Linked DNA regions of Macaca fascicularis. The protein of the gene in region 1 purifies or fractionates together with the protein of each later gene. This does not show direct contact. Links are inferred from orthologs where the notes say so. Each region holds a gene or a part of one and is shown in the gene's direction. Other genes may lie near its edges.

Region 1 (4,502 bases):
AGGGTGTGGGTGGTGGGAGCAGGCATCAGCTGAAAATAGCTCAAAAGAATTTGGGGCTGGGCAGAGTGGCTCCCAAAAATGCCCTCCTGTGTTCATTTATGTGTCTGAACAAAGCAGCTGCGCGCGTGTGTGCGAGTGGTGTCCGCTTCTCTTGGCCAGTCTGGGTTCCCTGCCAGAAGCCTGGCAGTATGGGCCAGACAAGGCCCTGTCTGCTTGGAGCTCAAGAGTGATTAAAAGAGGTGGGGTGGCCAGGCGTGGTGGCTCACACCTGTAATCCCAGAACTTTGGGAGGCTGAGGCGGGTGGATCACCTGAGGTCAGGAGTTCGAGACCAGCTTGGCCAACGTGGTGAAACCCTGTCTCTACTAAAAATACAAAAATTAGCTGGGCATGTTGGTTCACGCCTGTAGTCCTAACTAGTCGGGAGGCTGAGGCAGGAGAATTGCTTGAACCTGAGAGGTGGAGGTTGCAGTGAGCCGAGATTGCGCCATTGTACTCAAGCCTGGGTGACACACAGAGACTACGTCTCAAAAAAATAATAAATAAATAAAAAGAGGAGTCCACGCTAACGAGTCCACAGCCCTAACAAGTGCTGCGGGCTGGACGTGGGGCAGCGTCCCACCCAGTGTCTGGTGCAGGGCCTTTAGGGGCTTGGCCTCCAGTAGTGGAGAGCACAGGGCTGAGTGCGAGCACTACAGCTAGGCCAGGCCACTCACGTTATGCGGCCGTTCCTGATGCTTCAACACGGTCCTTGTGGGCGAATGTGTGAAATCTCGGAACAAGTGGAGTGGGGACCTGAGCGTCTGCGGTGAAGCCCAGGCTAAGGAAGCCCCTCATCTGCTCACGGTGCCAGGAGGTCTCTGCCTTCTGGTCCTGAGGAGTCGCGAGATTCCTGAGGGATACTAGGGTCTCTGCAGCTGTGCCTGCGCCAAGTAGCCGCGCGAGCCGCGCATGAATTCTGTCTCAACCTGGAGAAAAAAGCCGCGGCTGCGCCCTCGCCCACCACGAGCTTTCCATGGGGCGTGGGCGTGCAAGGGGCTCCTCCTTGTCCCAAAGCCCTGTCCTTCCACGGGAGACACCAAGGCTCTGGAGCGGCCCGCGCGCCGGCGCACTCGCCTATGTTTAACGAGAACTTAATCCCCGTGCCCGTTACCTCCCCGAAGTCCCGGGACTAGATAACAAGGCCCCGAAACGAGAGTCGCAGTAGGACCGACTGGGCCGGGGAGGGCAGCGAACTGCACCTGCGCGAGCTTCCAAAGCCCACGCGGCCGCCGCAGGCCTGCAGTGGGCGCGGGTTGGACAGCGGCGAGAGGCGGGACGGGACCTCGCCTCCTGGGCGCGGGCGCCCTGGGCTCGCGTGGGGGAAGTGCCCTGGCTTACAGAGGTGACGACTCCAGAACCCACGCGGAACGCGCCCACGAGGCCCGGCCGCAAGATGGCGACGCCGTGCCCCCGGCCACCCGCGCGCCGCGCATGCGCCCTGGCCTTCCCCGCCCGAGCGAGCGGAAGTCTCGTGACCCCGGAAGTGACAGGCAGGGCGGGCGGAGCGGCCGACGACGTTCGTCATTTAGTGCGGGAGGGAGCCTGAGCCGCGCGGCCGAACCCTCCGGTGAGTGGCCGTGGCGGGGCGGAGGCGGCGGGCCGGGGCGGGGACCGGCGGCGCCGGCGGAGGCGGGGGGCGCCGGGGTAGGGGCTTCCGCCTTTGTTCGCGCCCCGCCCTGAGCCCCCGGCGGGGTCTCGGCGGGCGGGGGCGCGGTGACAGCGGACCAGGGCGGCGCGGGTCAGGGCGGGGCCGGGGCGGGACCGGGTGGTGGCGGCCCCGGACCCACGTGCGGGACCCGGGCCGGAGGGGCGGCGGGGGCCAGGGGACTGCGAGCCCCGCCCGAGCGCCCCTGAGCTTCTTTCATGGCCGCCGAAGCGCGTGGGGCCCGGGCCAGACCGGAGGACCCCTCCCTGGGGACGCGGGGGGCGCCGGGCCGGCAGCCGCGGTCCATGGCGTTCCGGGGCGACGCGGGGATTGGGGCGCGGCCTCCCCCAGCGCCCGGGCCACGCCCGGCGCGGATTGCGGGCCCTGCGGAAGTGCGGGCCGCGCCCTAGGATCCCGGCGCCTGCGGCCACCCTTGCGCGGCGCAGAGGCCCCAGCGCCTGGAGGAAGCAGGGCGGCCTGGACCCCAGCCTGGGCGTCCCGGGTGGGCTGCTCCCTGATCCACCTCCCACGCTGCCGGGAAGAATCTGAGCCTGACATTCCCGCGCTCGGGTCCCTGCCGGGTCAGTGCTGCCCCGGGCACTCCCGGCTCCCGATCTACAAGAGGGCCCAACGGTACTGAGCGGCTGTGGTAGCTCCCAAGTGTAGGTCACAGACTCTCACAATTGTAGAGAAACCGGAGATACTTAGGATCCCCTGTGCCCCGTTGGCTCCCTGCGGTATTCTGGCTGCCTCTAGCATCCGAGCTCCAGGGGCATCCTGTTTGAAGGATGAGGATGAGGATGAGCCGACCACACAGGTTTACATGTGACTAGCGCGGCCAGAGGAGCATCCCTACTGAGGGATACCCAGCTCCGTTACCCGGTAGGGCAAGGGCCTGGGCAGCTCAGGAGCAGCAAGCCCATAAGAGAGGCTTTAGTGTGGGCCCTGCCAGTTGGGTCTGGGGCCTACTAGCCCCGCCCCACGCATGCCGGGGGCTGCTGCCTCCTCCATCGTGGAGGGGGAGGTGTGCCCTCTCTCCCCAGGACCGGCTGCAGTTCCCATTTTGTCTCAGATGTTATACCTGGCGTGGGGCACCTCACACTGCCCCAGAGGATGCCCCTGAGGAGGAGTTGGGCGGAGGAGAGGAGCGAGGGTGGCCCCCTTGGAGCCCTTTTGGAGCTCTGGCTGCAGTCCACGCTTCTGCTCAGAAAGTGCGCTTCCGTTGGGGATCCAGGTCCAAGGCCTGCCACCGTCCCGCCCACAGGTGTCCTGACCCAGGCTAAGCGTGAGCATGGCTGAGCAGGAGCCCACAGCCGAGCAGCTGGCCCAGATTGCAGCAGAGAACGAGGAAGATGAGCACTCGGTCAACTACAAGCCCCCGGCCCAGAAGAGCATCCAGGAGATCCAGGAGCTGGACAAGGACGACGAGAGCCTGCGAAAGTACAAGGAGGCCCTGCTGGGCCGCGTGGCCGTTTCGGCAGGTGAGTCTGGGCTGCGGGAGCCCGGTGACCACCCGTGCACTCCAGCTGTCTTGCCGCTCCCCAGCCCCTGCTTCCACTGGCGGGGGTGAGGCCCTCACCTCCTGTCACTCCCCAGACCCCAACGTCCCCAACGTCGTCGTGACTGGCCTGACCCTGGTGTGCAGCTCGGCCCCGGGCCCCCTGGAGCTGGACCTGACAGGTGAGCGCCCTGCGGCTGCGGGGGTTCGGGCGGCCCCTGGTGGGGATCTCGGGAAGTGCAGCCAAGGGGCCGCGCAGGGCTGGGGGCGCGGGGCTGCTGGGCAGTCACTGAAGGAGAGGTCCCCCCAACAGGTGACCTGGAGAGCTTCAAGAAGCAGTCGTTTGTGCTGAAAGAGGGTGTAGAGTACCGGATAAAAATCTCTTTCCGGGTAAGCTGTCGGCTGCTGTGGCCAGGGAAGGGAGGCGGGACTGGGGCCGACCTTCCCTGATCTTCGCTTCGGGTCCTGCAGGTTAACAGAGAGATCGTGTCCGGCATGAAGTACATCCAGCACACGTACAGGAAAGGCGTCAAGAGTGAGTGGGGCCCCGGGCAGGGCGGAGGGGGCCGTTTGGGTGCGTGGTGCCCAGCGGGGACGCAGGGCCGCTGACCGCCCTCTTCCTTGTGCCGCAGTTGACAAGACTGACTACATGGTAGGCAGCTATGGGCCCCGGGCCGAGGAGTACGAGTTCCTGACCCCCGTGGAGGAGGCACCCAAGGGTATGCTGGCCCGGGGCAGCTACAGCATCAAGTCCCGCTTCACAGACGACGACAAGACCGACCACCTGTCCTGGGAGTGGAATCTCACCATCAAGAAGGACTGGAAGGACTGAGCCCAGCCAGAAGCAGGCAGGGCAGACGGACGGACGGACGACGGACAGGCGGATGTGTCCCCCCAGCCCCTCCCCTCCCCATACCAAAGTGCTGACAGGCCCTCCGTGCCCCTCCCACCCTGGTCCGCCTCCCTGGCCTGGCTCAACCGAGTGCCTCCGACCCCCCTCCTCAACCCTCCCCCGCCCACAGGCCCAGCCTCCTCGGTGGTCTTGTGTCTCGTTGCTGCTTCTGCCTGTGCTGTGGGGGAGAGAGGCCCCAGCCAGGCCTCTGCTGCCCTTTCCGTGCCCCCCAGGTTCTATCTCCCTGTCACACCTGAGGCCTGGCTTAAGGAAGGAGCGGAGCAGCCATTCTCCAGGCCCCGTGGTTGGCCCTGGACGTGTGCGTTTGCTGCTCCGTGGTGGAGCTGGGGTGTGGGATGCAGGGTCTTGTGGGGGCCGGGCCATCCTCCAGCCCTGCTGCTCCCTGGCCAGCCCCTTTGTCGCTGT
Region 2 (4,293 bases), on another chromosome or scaffold:
AGACCCAGCACTAGCTTTGTAACCTCTCTGAACCTCAATTTGCTTCTCAGTAAAATGAAGATAGCTACCTCATGAGATTTTTGTAGTTAATGTATGTGGACCCAGGTCCATGTAATATGGATTCAATAAATGTTAGCCATCTTGAAATTGTCTGCATTCCTCATTTAGACTCTTAAGTTGTTTGAAGGCAGAAATGGATCTTCCAAACATAGCTCTCAGTTCACCCTCAAGAAATGTTTACTGAGCCAGTTAAGAGGCCTGGGGCCAAACTGCTGCGGACCTCAGTTTTCACATTTGTCAAATGTCTGGATTGCACTTCAGATAAAGTCTGTATGACTCCTAACATTCATTCATTCATCAAATATTTGTTGGCAACCTATTACGTGCCACTCACTGTGCTAGACAACGGGGGAAGGGACAGGCTGGAGGAGCCTGGGAAGTAGCAGGGCCAGACCACCAGTTTGGAGCCAGACAGGCCCGGCTGTGTGAATTCTTGCTGTCACAAGTCAAAAACATTTGTGTAAGCCACTTGATTTCTCTGAGCCTCAGCTTCCCTATGGGCAAAAAGGGATGGGTATATTTTCCCCAAAGATCTGTGATGAATATTGAAAGGGTTAAGCTGTGTAGTGTCCCAAGCACAAGCCAATGAAATGTTGGTGGACGTCCTCATTCTACTCCCACCTCCTCAGCTTCCTTACAGGAAAAGGAGATACGCGTGTAGGTAAGTATCCTATACACCAAGTCAGAACTAGAAGTGGGAACAGAATTCCCAGCTGGGATCCGGAAGCATTTCTAGGAGCACCCTTTGAGGAGTAGGTAGGAATTGGACTCCTGGAAATTCCAGGCCCAGGGAGGAAAGCGAATTGTGAGGAGGAACGCTGGTCTGGGTCTGAACGGCTCTGAGAGGTCTTCAAGTTTGGGGGATGACGTTGGGCTGTACGATCCTAGGAACAAGAGAGTGAACATCTCCCCCAACCAACACACCCACGCCGGGCCCTGGGACGTGCCGGGGGCTGCCCTTTCCCAGTCCCGCCTCCGGAGAGGTCCCAGGTGCAGCAAGAGCGGGTGGCTGCTTGGCCACAGGAGGGCAGCAGCGGCCCTTCCTGACCCCACCCCTAGCACTCTTAACTTTCCCGACGCCGGTCCTCCCCTAGGGGCTGGAAGGTTGGGCAGAGTGAGTTCACTCAGGTAGTGCTGGCCCCGCTCGCCCGGCTCCTCCGCAGTCCCGGAATAACCCCGTGGCCCTCCCCTACCTGGCGGAGTGGACGCCCCCGGCCCCAGGCCTGCGGACCAGGGAAGCGGCGGCCGCCCTGCGCGGGGCCGGGGCGGGCCGAGCCAAGGGCCGCCCCCAGCCGACCCTCCCCCTGCCGGGCCCGCCCTCCCCGCCGCGGAGCTGGAGGAGGGCGGGGCGGGGCCCTGGGGTCAGTCTGAGCCTCAGGCACCGGCCGCGCAGCTGGAGGCGGCGGAACCGAAGGTACCCTGGGCCGGGTCTGCGGGCAGCGGGGCGTCTTGGGAACTCGTCCCCGGGAGAGCACTTTGCCTTCCTCTCTGGGCCGGAGATCGAGGCCCGTGCAGGGAGGGGGCTTCGGCCTGGGCTTGGACCCCGTTCCCTCCCTGCGGAGTCGGCATCCGGGCTGGGCGGGGGTCGGCCGCGTCGGCACCTCCCCGGGCTGCAGCGAGGGGGCCCGGACTTGCTGGCAGGGGCTCTCGCCTCCTGAGGTCCGAGTCGGAGCCCCTTCCCCTCTCCTTCCAGCTTCCTGGAACCTGCCCCGCCGGGTGAGGGGCGAGGGAGCCTCAACTCAGACGCTCCAGCCCCCAGGGCGGGCGGCCGCAGGGGACCTAGAGTGGGATGGGGTGGGAATTCCTCCAGGCCAGGAGGGAGGCATGGCGGGAATAGGGGCGGGATGTGACCATTGGGACCTGCCACTGTTCGGCAGGGTCTGGACGCCGCCCTAGACGGTTCCTGGAGCCCGCTTGTGTTGAGGATAAGGGAGATGGGGAAGGATCCAACTCTGTGGGTGGGTGTGTGTGTGTGTGTGTGTGTGTGTGTGTGTGTGTCTGTGGGGTGTGTGTGTGTGTGTGTGTCTGTGGGGGGTGTGTGTGTGTGTGTGTCTGTGGGGGGTGTGTGTGTGTGTGTGTGTGTGTGTGTGTAGACAGAGAGAAAATGAGAATGAGAATCCTTCTCCTTCTTCATACTCGAACCAACAAGGAGTATCCTGGGGTTTTGGGGCTGGGATCCTGAGGCCGAGTCCCACCCTCACTCTGGTTTTAAAGTTGAGAATGAGGTATCTCCTGGTATCTCCAGAACGGATTCCTTCCCTAGGTGTAGGGTGGGTCAGCAAAGTCAACCGGCCGCTCTGGATCATCTGGGAATTCAAGAGAGCGGTTGGAGAGAGATCTGGTGTATCCACACTGTCTTGTCTTGGGGAAGGCCCCAGAAGTTCCAGGCTCCATTCCAGGACCTGTGTGGGGCTCAGTTGCCCCTCTTAAGGGGTCAGTGGGACAGTCCCTCTGGGGCTGCCTCCCATAGGGAGTTATCCATGCCATCTTGGCCTTGGGCCTAGTGTCCTGGCCTGGCCTGGGCTGCCTGCTGTTCCGGCCCAACCATAGCCTGGAGGGAAGGTCTTCTAATTGAGCTGGAGGCTCCAGGTCCCTTAACACATGCCTCAACCCCGGGCTTCTGTCCTCTGCCTCCTACCACTCTGGTGCCATCTGAATTACCCTGCTGGGGGGACAGCAGTGACATACTCATGCCTAAGTGACTGGCTTTCACCCCAGTAGTGATTGCCCTCCATCAACACTGCCCACCCCAGGGTGGGGCTACCCCAGCCCATCTTTACAAAACAGGGCAAGGTGAACTAATGGAGTGGGTGGAGGAGTTGGAAGAAATCCTAGCGTCAGTCACCTGGATAGAATTCCCGAGGAACCCTCTTTTTGGAGGGTGGTTTCCATTTCTGGAGGCTATCTGCCGGCAGGGTGAAAGCCTTCTTGCTTGTCTTCTGGGGAATCAGAGAGAGTCCATTTTCTGGTGGGAAGAGTGTGGCTGTGTACTTTGAACTCCTGTAAATTCTCTGACTCACGTCCACAAAACCGACAGTTTTGTGAATGTGTGTGGAGGCAAGGGAAGGGCCACCTAGGATCTGCTGTTGAAGGGAACAGGCCTGGGACTGGAGGATTCGTTTCCTAAAGGGCAGTGTGAGGTGGTGGCGGGGTGTGGGGAGTAGAGGCCTTCAGTCAGCCCAGTTTGACAGGATGTGGGACTGAGAGAAAAAGCTAGGTTTGAAGCCGAGATCAGGTTACCGTCGCTTTCTTAACTGCTCCCTGCCTGGTTGGTGCTGGGACTGGCCCTCATTTGTCTCTTCTTTTGGGACTCCTCCCAACCCAGACTCTAGCCCCCTCCCTCTTCCCAACAGCCTTGACTTCATCTCAGCTCCAGAGCCCGCCCTCTCTTCCTGCAGCCTGGGAACTTCAGCCGGCTGGAGGCCGGTTCCCCTCCCCAGGGAAGGAGGAAGTGAGGGAAGCTGCGAAGGTGTGATGAACTGTGCAGATGCTCGCCGTGTGTGCTGGGGGTGGGGGACACTTGGAAGCCCGGGAAGCTGACTCCTTGCCCTGAGTCACAGGGAGGGGTGGGCAGGGCCTGTGGGTGAGCTGGACCAAGGGAGGAAGGGACTGTTCCAGAGTGGGTGGAGGTGATTCCCTGGTGGATTCTTCTCAGTCACTGTGCTGTGGTGGATGTGTGGCTCCCTACAGTGTGGTCATTGTCCCCTGCCAGGGGCTGAGTGACCCAGTGTTGCTGGCAGGCCCAGGAGGAAGGGGGGAGGAAGGCAGCCTGCCCAAACTCGAGCTGTGGGCACTGCTGGGACTGAGCCTCCTTTGTATGACTTGGGGCTTTGGGGACCGGGTGGGGTGGACCAGGGAAGCTGGCTGGCTGCTGCCCCTGTCCTCTGGGTTTCCCTGCTTCTGCTCTCCTTCCTACCGCTGAGGTGACATGTCGAAGAGGCACGGCTTTGAGTCACACAGTCCTGCTATGGATGCTATCCCTGCCGCTTATAAGCCACAGCTCTGAATCTGTCTTAACCTCATTGAGCCTTAGTTTCCTAGTTTGTCAAAATGGAAAGTACACCATCTACCTCCCAGGCATCTGGGGACCAAAGGAGATAATTCCTGCCAAAATGCCCGACAGAGTGCCTGGCACCTAGGGACTCTATAACTATTCTTCCTTTACCCACCTACCACCTGGTAGCTGGTTCTGCTACTCTGGTCCTAGAGAGGGACTCCTTATTTGTGACTGGA
Region 3 (4,255 bases), on another chromosome or scaffold:
GCTATTGGAGAGGCTGAGGCAGGAGAATTGCTTGAACCTGGGAGACAGAGGTTGCAGTGAGCCGAGATTGCGCCATTGCACTCCAGCCTGGGCAACAAGAGTGAAACTCCGTCTAAAAAAAAAAGGAAAGGAAAGGAAAGAAATTCAGTCTTTCAGAGGGAATACACTTACCTGAATAGAGGTCAAAGTCTCAGAAGAGGCCTCCCTCCTCTCTCTGACCTCTGAAATGCCCTGGACCTGCAAGTGGGAGATTACAGGCCCTGACAAGGGTTGCCCAAACAGCAGTGTGGCACTAGGAAGGCAGGTTAAGCATCAATTACTATGATGCTAGCACAACTTAAGCACTCTGCATGCACAATCTCATTTAATCCTTACAAGTGTATGTAGGAGGGGCTACTAGTATGTTCATTCAACAAACTGGGATACAGAGTTTGGAACTTCACCCAAAGTCACTAGTTTCTCTACCAGGATAGATTTAAGTGCTTACTGTCAGGTACTGTTCCAGGCATCTTATATGTACTAACTCATTATCCCCATTACAACCCTCTGATACAGGTGCCATAATTATGCCACTTTACAGACGAGAAAACTAAAAGCAGAAAGGGAGCAGTAAACCCAGGAGATGAATTCTGGAGAAGCTCTCTGGTTTCAACCCTTAGCCAACATCACAATCACCTGAAGGGCTTGTAATACACTGATTGCTGGGCCCAGTCCTAGAGTTTCTGAATCCTAAGGCTGAGCAACACCTAATTTCCACTTCTGCAAGTTCCCAGTGAATGCTGTTGCTGCTCGTCTGGAAGCCAGACGTTGAGAACCCCTTCTAGAGTGAGGTCTCCCGCAACAAATTCTACCGGCCCCCAAAGCACGTGTTTTGTGTGTCTTAAAAATTTGTTGAGTACCATTAGCAAAAAACAAACAAAAAAACTTAATTCCTAGAATTGCAGAGAAATCCCATGGAGTTTTTTGCTAGTCACGTCAAAAGAGGCCACAAAGTGCCGCTTAACCAGAGCTTCGGAAGACAGCGGCTGGGCCGGCCACGTGCACCGAGACTTGGGGCCAGGTGCAGCCGCCCCAGGGCCGGGGTATCGGAAAGGGCCCCCGGTCCCAGCCCCAAGCGGCCCAGCAATTCCCCCGGGCCGTCCGCCCCTCCAGATTTATTTACGTTTTCCTGACTTCCCCCTGCCCGCCGTGGGACAAACAGCCTCCCCACTTGCATCTGCGCTGGGAGTAGCGCGTACTTCCGCCAAATTCGCCTCCGAGCCCGAGTCCCGGCCGCCGCCATCTTGCGGGGGGCGCACCTCACAGGTCGGGAGCTGGGCGGGAAGGGGCGTGGCCCCGGGACCCGCCCCGCCAGGGCTCTTGGGAGCGCGGGCAGCCAGCGCACTCGGCGGACGCCAGGGCGGCGGGGAGCACACGGAGCACTGCAGGCGTCGGGTGAGGCGTACGGCGGCGGGGGTCGGGGCGGGGGTTCCTGACGGAGGGACCGGGTGGGCGGCGGGAGCTCGGATGCAGGTACGGCGGGCAGCCTGGGGGGCGCGGCGCGGGTCTCTGCCCGGCACTCGAGGGGCAGTGGAGCTGAGCCGGCCAGCGGCCCCGCGACCTTCCCCTCGGCACCAGGTCCCCTCTCCCGAAGGAAACGCGGAGCCTGGGTGCCTGGGCGCCGTCCCTTGGCGGCTCCCGGGCGGTTGCAGTTTTTGAAAGAGTTTCTCAAAGGCGTGACGGTTGCGATTGCAGCCGCGGGGCAACGGTTGCTACACAAAGTGAAACTTGCCGAGTGCTCGGCTCCTCACGGGCTTCCTGGCAGCCCTGGGAAGTTCCTCGGCTGACCCCGAGCCCGCGCCCTCTCTCCACGGACCCCTCCCCGCCGAGTGCCCCCCGGCCATGCGCCCCCTCTCCCCTGACCCCTCCCTGCCGAGTGCCCCGAGGGCTCGCGCCGGCGCTCCCGGGACTCCTTTCTCCTAGGTGATTCCCCCTGCCCCTCGCCCTCTCTCCCCCAGGCCCGCGCTCCGTCTTCCCGGGCCTTTCCCCGCCGGGTACCCCGGGCCCCGCGCCCTCTCTTCTCCACTTCTCTCAGCCAGGTGCACCTGGAGTGCCCCCCAGACCCCTTCCCGCCCGGTCGGCGCTCTTTCCCCCATCCCTCCCCGCCGAGTGTTCCCCGGGGCCCGTGCCCTCTCCCCCCGACCCTCTCCGCCGAGCGTTCCCCCTGCCCTATATCTCCCGGACCCGCGTCCCCCACCAGCCCCTTAATGCTGGGGGTCCCCGGGTGCGCACCCCCTCTCTCCGGACCCCCCCAACTGGGGGCACCTCGAGTGCCCGCCGGCTGCCCCTTGGGCGCGCGCCCCCGCGCTCAGGCCCCTCCTCGCCGGGGGCCCCGCCCGGCCGCGCCCCCTCCCCGTGCCCGCAGTGCTGGGCGGGGCGCTGACTCACCCCGGCCCGGGCTGGCCGGTTCTTAAGCGGCGGCGCGCGGCGGGCGCGGAGTGTCGGGCGCGGCAGGAGGACGAGGCAGGGCCGACCGGCGCTCTAAGGGCTCTGCTTTGACTCCAGGTTGGGACAGCGTCTCCGCTGCTGCTGGAGAGTCGTGTTTCCGGGGATCGAGGATACTCAACAGGAACCGAAAATGCCGAAACCAGTAAGTTGCCCAGTTTCTGGGACGGGCGGACGGGGGAGGCTTCATTGGCGAGGGGAGGCACCTGCACGAGGTGTTGGGGCAGTTCCTGGTGGAAGAAGGCTTTTCTCACACGCAGAAGAGGATAGGAATAGGGGGTTGTCGCCGCTCTTTGTTACTTGTTGGCCCTTTTGTGGAGCGTTAGGAAAACACCATTTTGATGCTTTTCTCTGCAGTCTTTTTCTTTGTGAGCCCCCTCCCCAGTAGTTACGATCTTCTCTAAAAACTAGAGGCCCTTTTACACTGCTTCCGTCTGTTTTTAAAGGGTATGGTAATGCAACTTCGAATTTTCTTAAAAAGTCCAAATCACAGGGAGACTCAAATGGCCTCCGACCACACACACCAGCTCTCAGAGTTCCTAAGGGTCCGAAACCACAGGCGCCCAAGATCCAACTGGGGAGATTTAAAGGGCGTTTGGGAGAGGAGACTGGCTTTCGGAAGTTGCCGTTCAGCTTCGCTTCCTACGAGGCCCATGAAGCGGTGCCCTGTTCACCAGGAAACTTACTGGCTGCAGCAGAATTTCTGTCTCTTAACAGAAGGTTAGCCATGGACTTGAATTGTAGATGCAGGCAGTCGGCGGAGTTTGATGAGCGGCTCTTGGCACGCTGGGCCGAGCACTCCTGGTCAACTGATGAAAGGGCTGTGCCTGCGCCTCTGTCTCCTTGAATCTGATTGTGTTGAGATTGCTGGCTAGGCCTGGGGGTTGTAGGCAAAAGGCAGGTTCTCTGGGACTGACACTTCTTAGAAAGTTGTATGTATTCTACCTGCTTTTAACGCTGGGGAACTAGTGACTATTCGGGAGAAGGTTTAACATTTTTTGAGTTTTGAATCACAGTGGACAAAATAACAGGGTTCATTACAAACTGGGATTACAGATACATCCGGATTTTTTTTCTGGTTTTTCAAACAAGTTGGTTCTGTAATCAATGATTGTGTGCCTTTTTTTTTTTTTTTTTTTTTTTTTTTTTGTTGGGGGAGGTAGGTGGTGGGGAGCAGAGTCTCCCTCTGTCGCCCGGGCTGGAGTGCAGTGGCCTGATCTCAGCTCACTGCAACCTCTGCCTGTTGGGTTCAGGCGAATCTCCTGCCTCAGCCTCCCGAGTAGCTGGGATTACAGGCATGTGCCACCATGCCCAGCTAAATTGTGTATTTTTGTAGAGAGGGTGTTTCACCATGTTGGCCAGGTTGGTCTCAAACTCCCGACCTCAGGTGATCCGCCCACCTCGACCTCCCAAAATGCTAGGATTACAGGCGTGAGCCACCACACCCGGCCTTGGTGCTTTTTCTACTGTTAAATTTTATGTTCTCTAAGAAGATGTTTGTTAGAGGTATTAATTTTGCTGTTAGGTTAGAGAATATTAATATGCCAATAGATTCAGAAGCCAATATCATTTTTGCCTAAGTTACATTAAGATTTATTTGCGGTGCAGAGTATTTTCTATACAAAATTTTTCTTTTTAATTCAAACTTAAAAGTGACACGTGACATCCAGGCTTGACAGTGCATGTGGTATGAAACTGACCTAAGTACAACCCCTTACTTAGGCAGAGCTGAGTGCAAGGGTATGCAGAGGAGTGGTCAAGATTACCCTTC

What was found. The genes of interacting proteins can lie anywhere in the genome.
Region 2: the proteins of ARHGDIA (region 1) and RHOC purify together in Homo sapiens (affinity purification with mass spectrometry; 4 studies listed by BioGRID and IntAct, with this or other methods). This does not show direct contact. The link is inferred for Macaca fascicularis from reciprocal best matches to the Homo sapiens genes ARHGDIA and RHOC.
Region 3: the proteins of ARHGDIA (region 1) and EZR purify together in Homo sapiens (co-purification; 3 studies listed by BioGRID and IntAct, with this or other methods). This does not show direct contact. The link is inferred for Macaca fascicularis from reciprocal best matches to the Homo sapiens genes ARHGDIA and EZR.

What each region holds. Positions count from the first base shown.
Region 1 is NC_088390.1:88,245,440-88,249,941, reverse strand, and holds the start of ARHGDIA (rho GDP-dissociation inhibitor 1), read left to right. Parts: upstream 1-1,568; 5' UTR 1,569-1,685; intron 1,686-2,074; exon of another isoform or gene 2,075-2,348; intron 2,349-2,950; 5' UTR 2,951-2,977; coding exon 2,978-3,167; intron 3,168-3,282; coding exon 3,283-3,366; intron 3,367-3,497; coding exon 3,498-3,574; intron 3,575-3,655; coding exon 3,656-3,719; intron 3,720-3,816; coding exon 3,817-4,016; 3' UTR 4,017-4,502. UniProt on the Homo sapiens protein: Controls Rho proteins homeostasis. Regulates the GDP/GTP exchange reaction of the Rho proteins by inhibiting the dissociation of GDP from them, and the subsequent binding of GTP to them.
Region 2 is NC_088375.1:121,673,204-121,677,496, forward strand, and holds the start of RHOC (rho-related GTP-binding protein RhoC), read left to right. Parts: upstream 1-1,424; 5' UTR 1,425-1,474; intron 1,475-3,444; exon of another isoform or gene 3,445-3,529; intron 3,530-4,293. UniProt on the Homo sapiens protein: Regulates a signal transduction pathway linking plasma membrane receptors to the assembly of focal adhesions and actin stress fibers.
Region 3 is NC_088378.1:67,154,916-67,159,170, reverse strand, and holds the start of EZR (ezrin), read left to right. Parts: upstream 1-1,386; 5' UTR 1,387-1,434; intron 1,435-2,544; 5' UTR 2,545-2,617; coding exon 2,618-2,629; intron 2,630-4,255. UniProt on the Homo sapiens protein: Probably involved in connections of major cytoskeletal structures to the plasma membrane. In epithelial cells, required for the formation of microvilli and membrane ruffles on the apical pole. Along with PLEKHG6, required for normal macropinocytosis.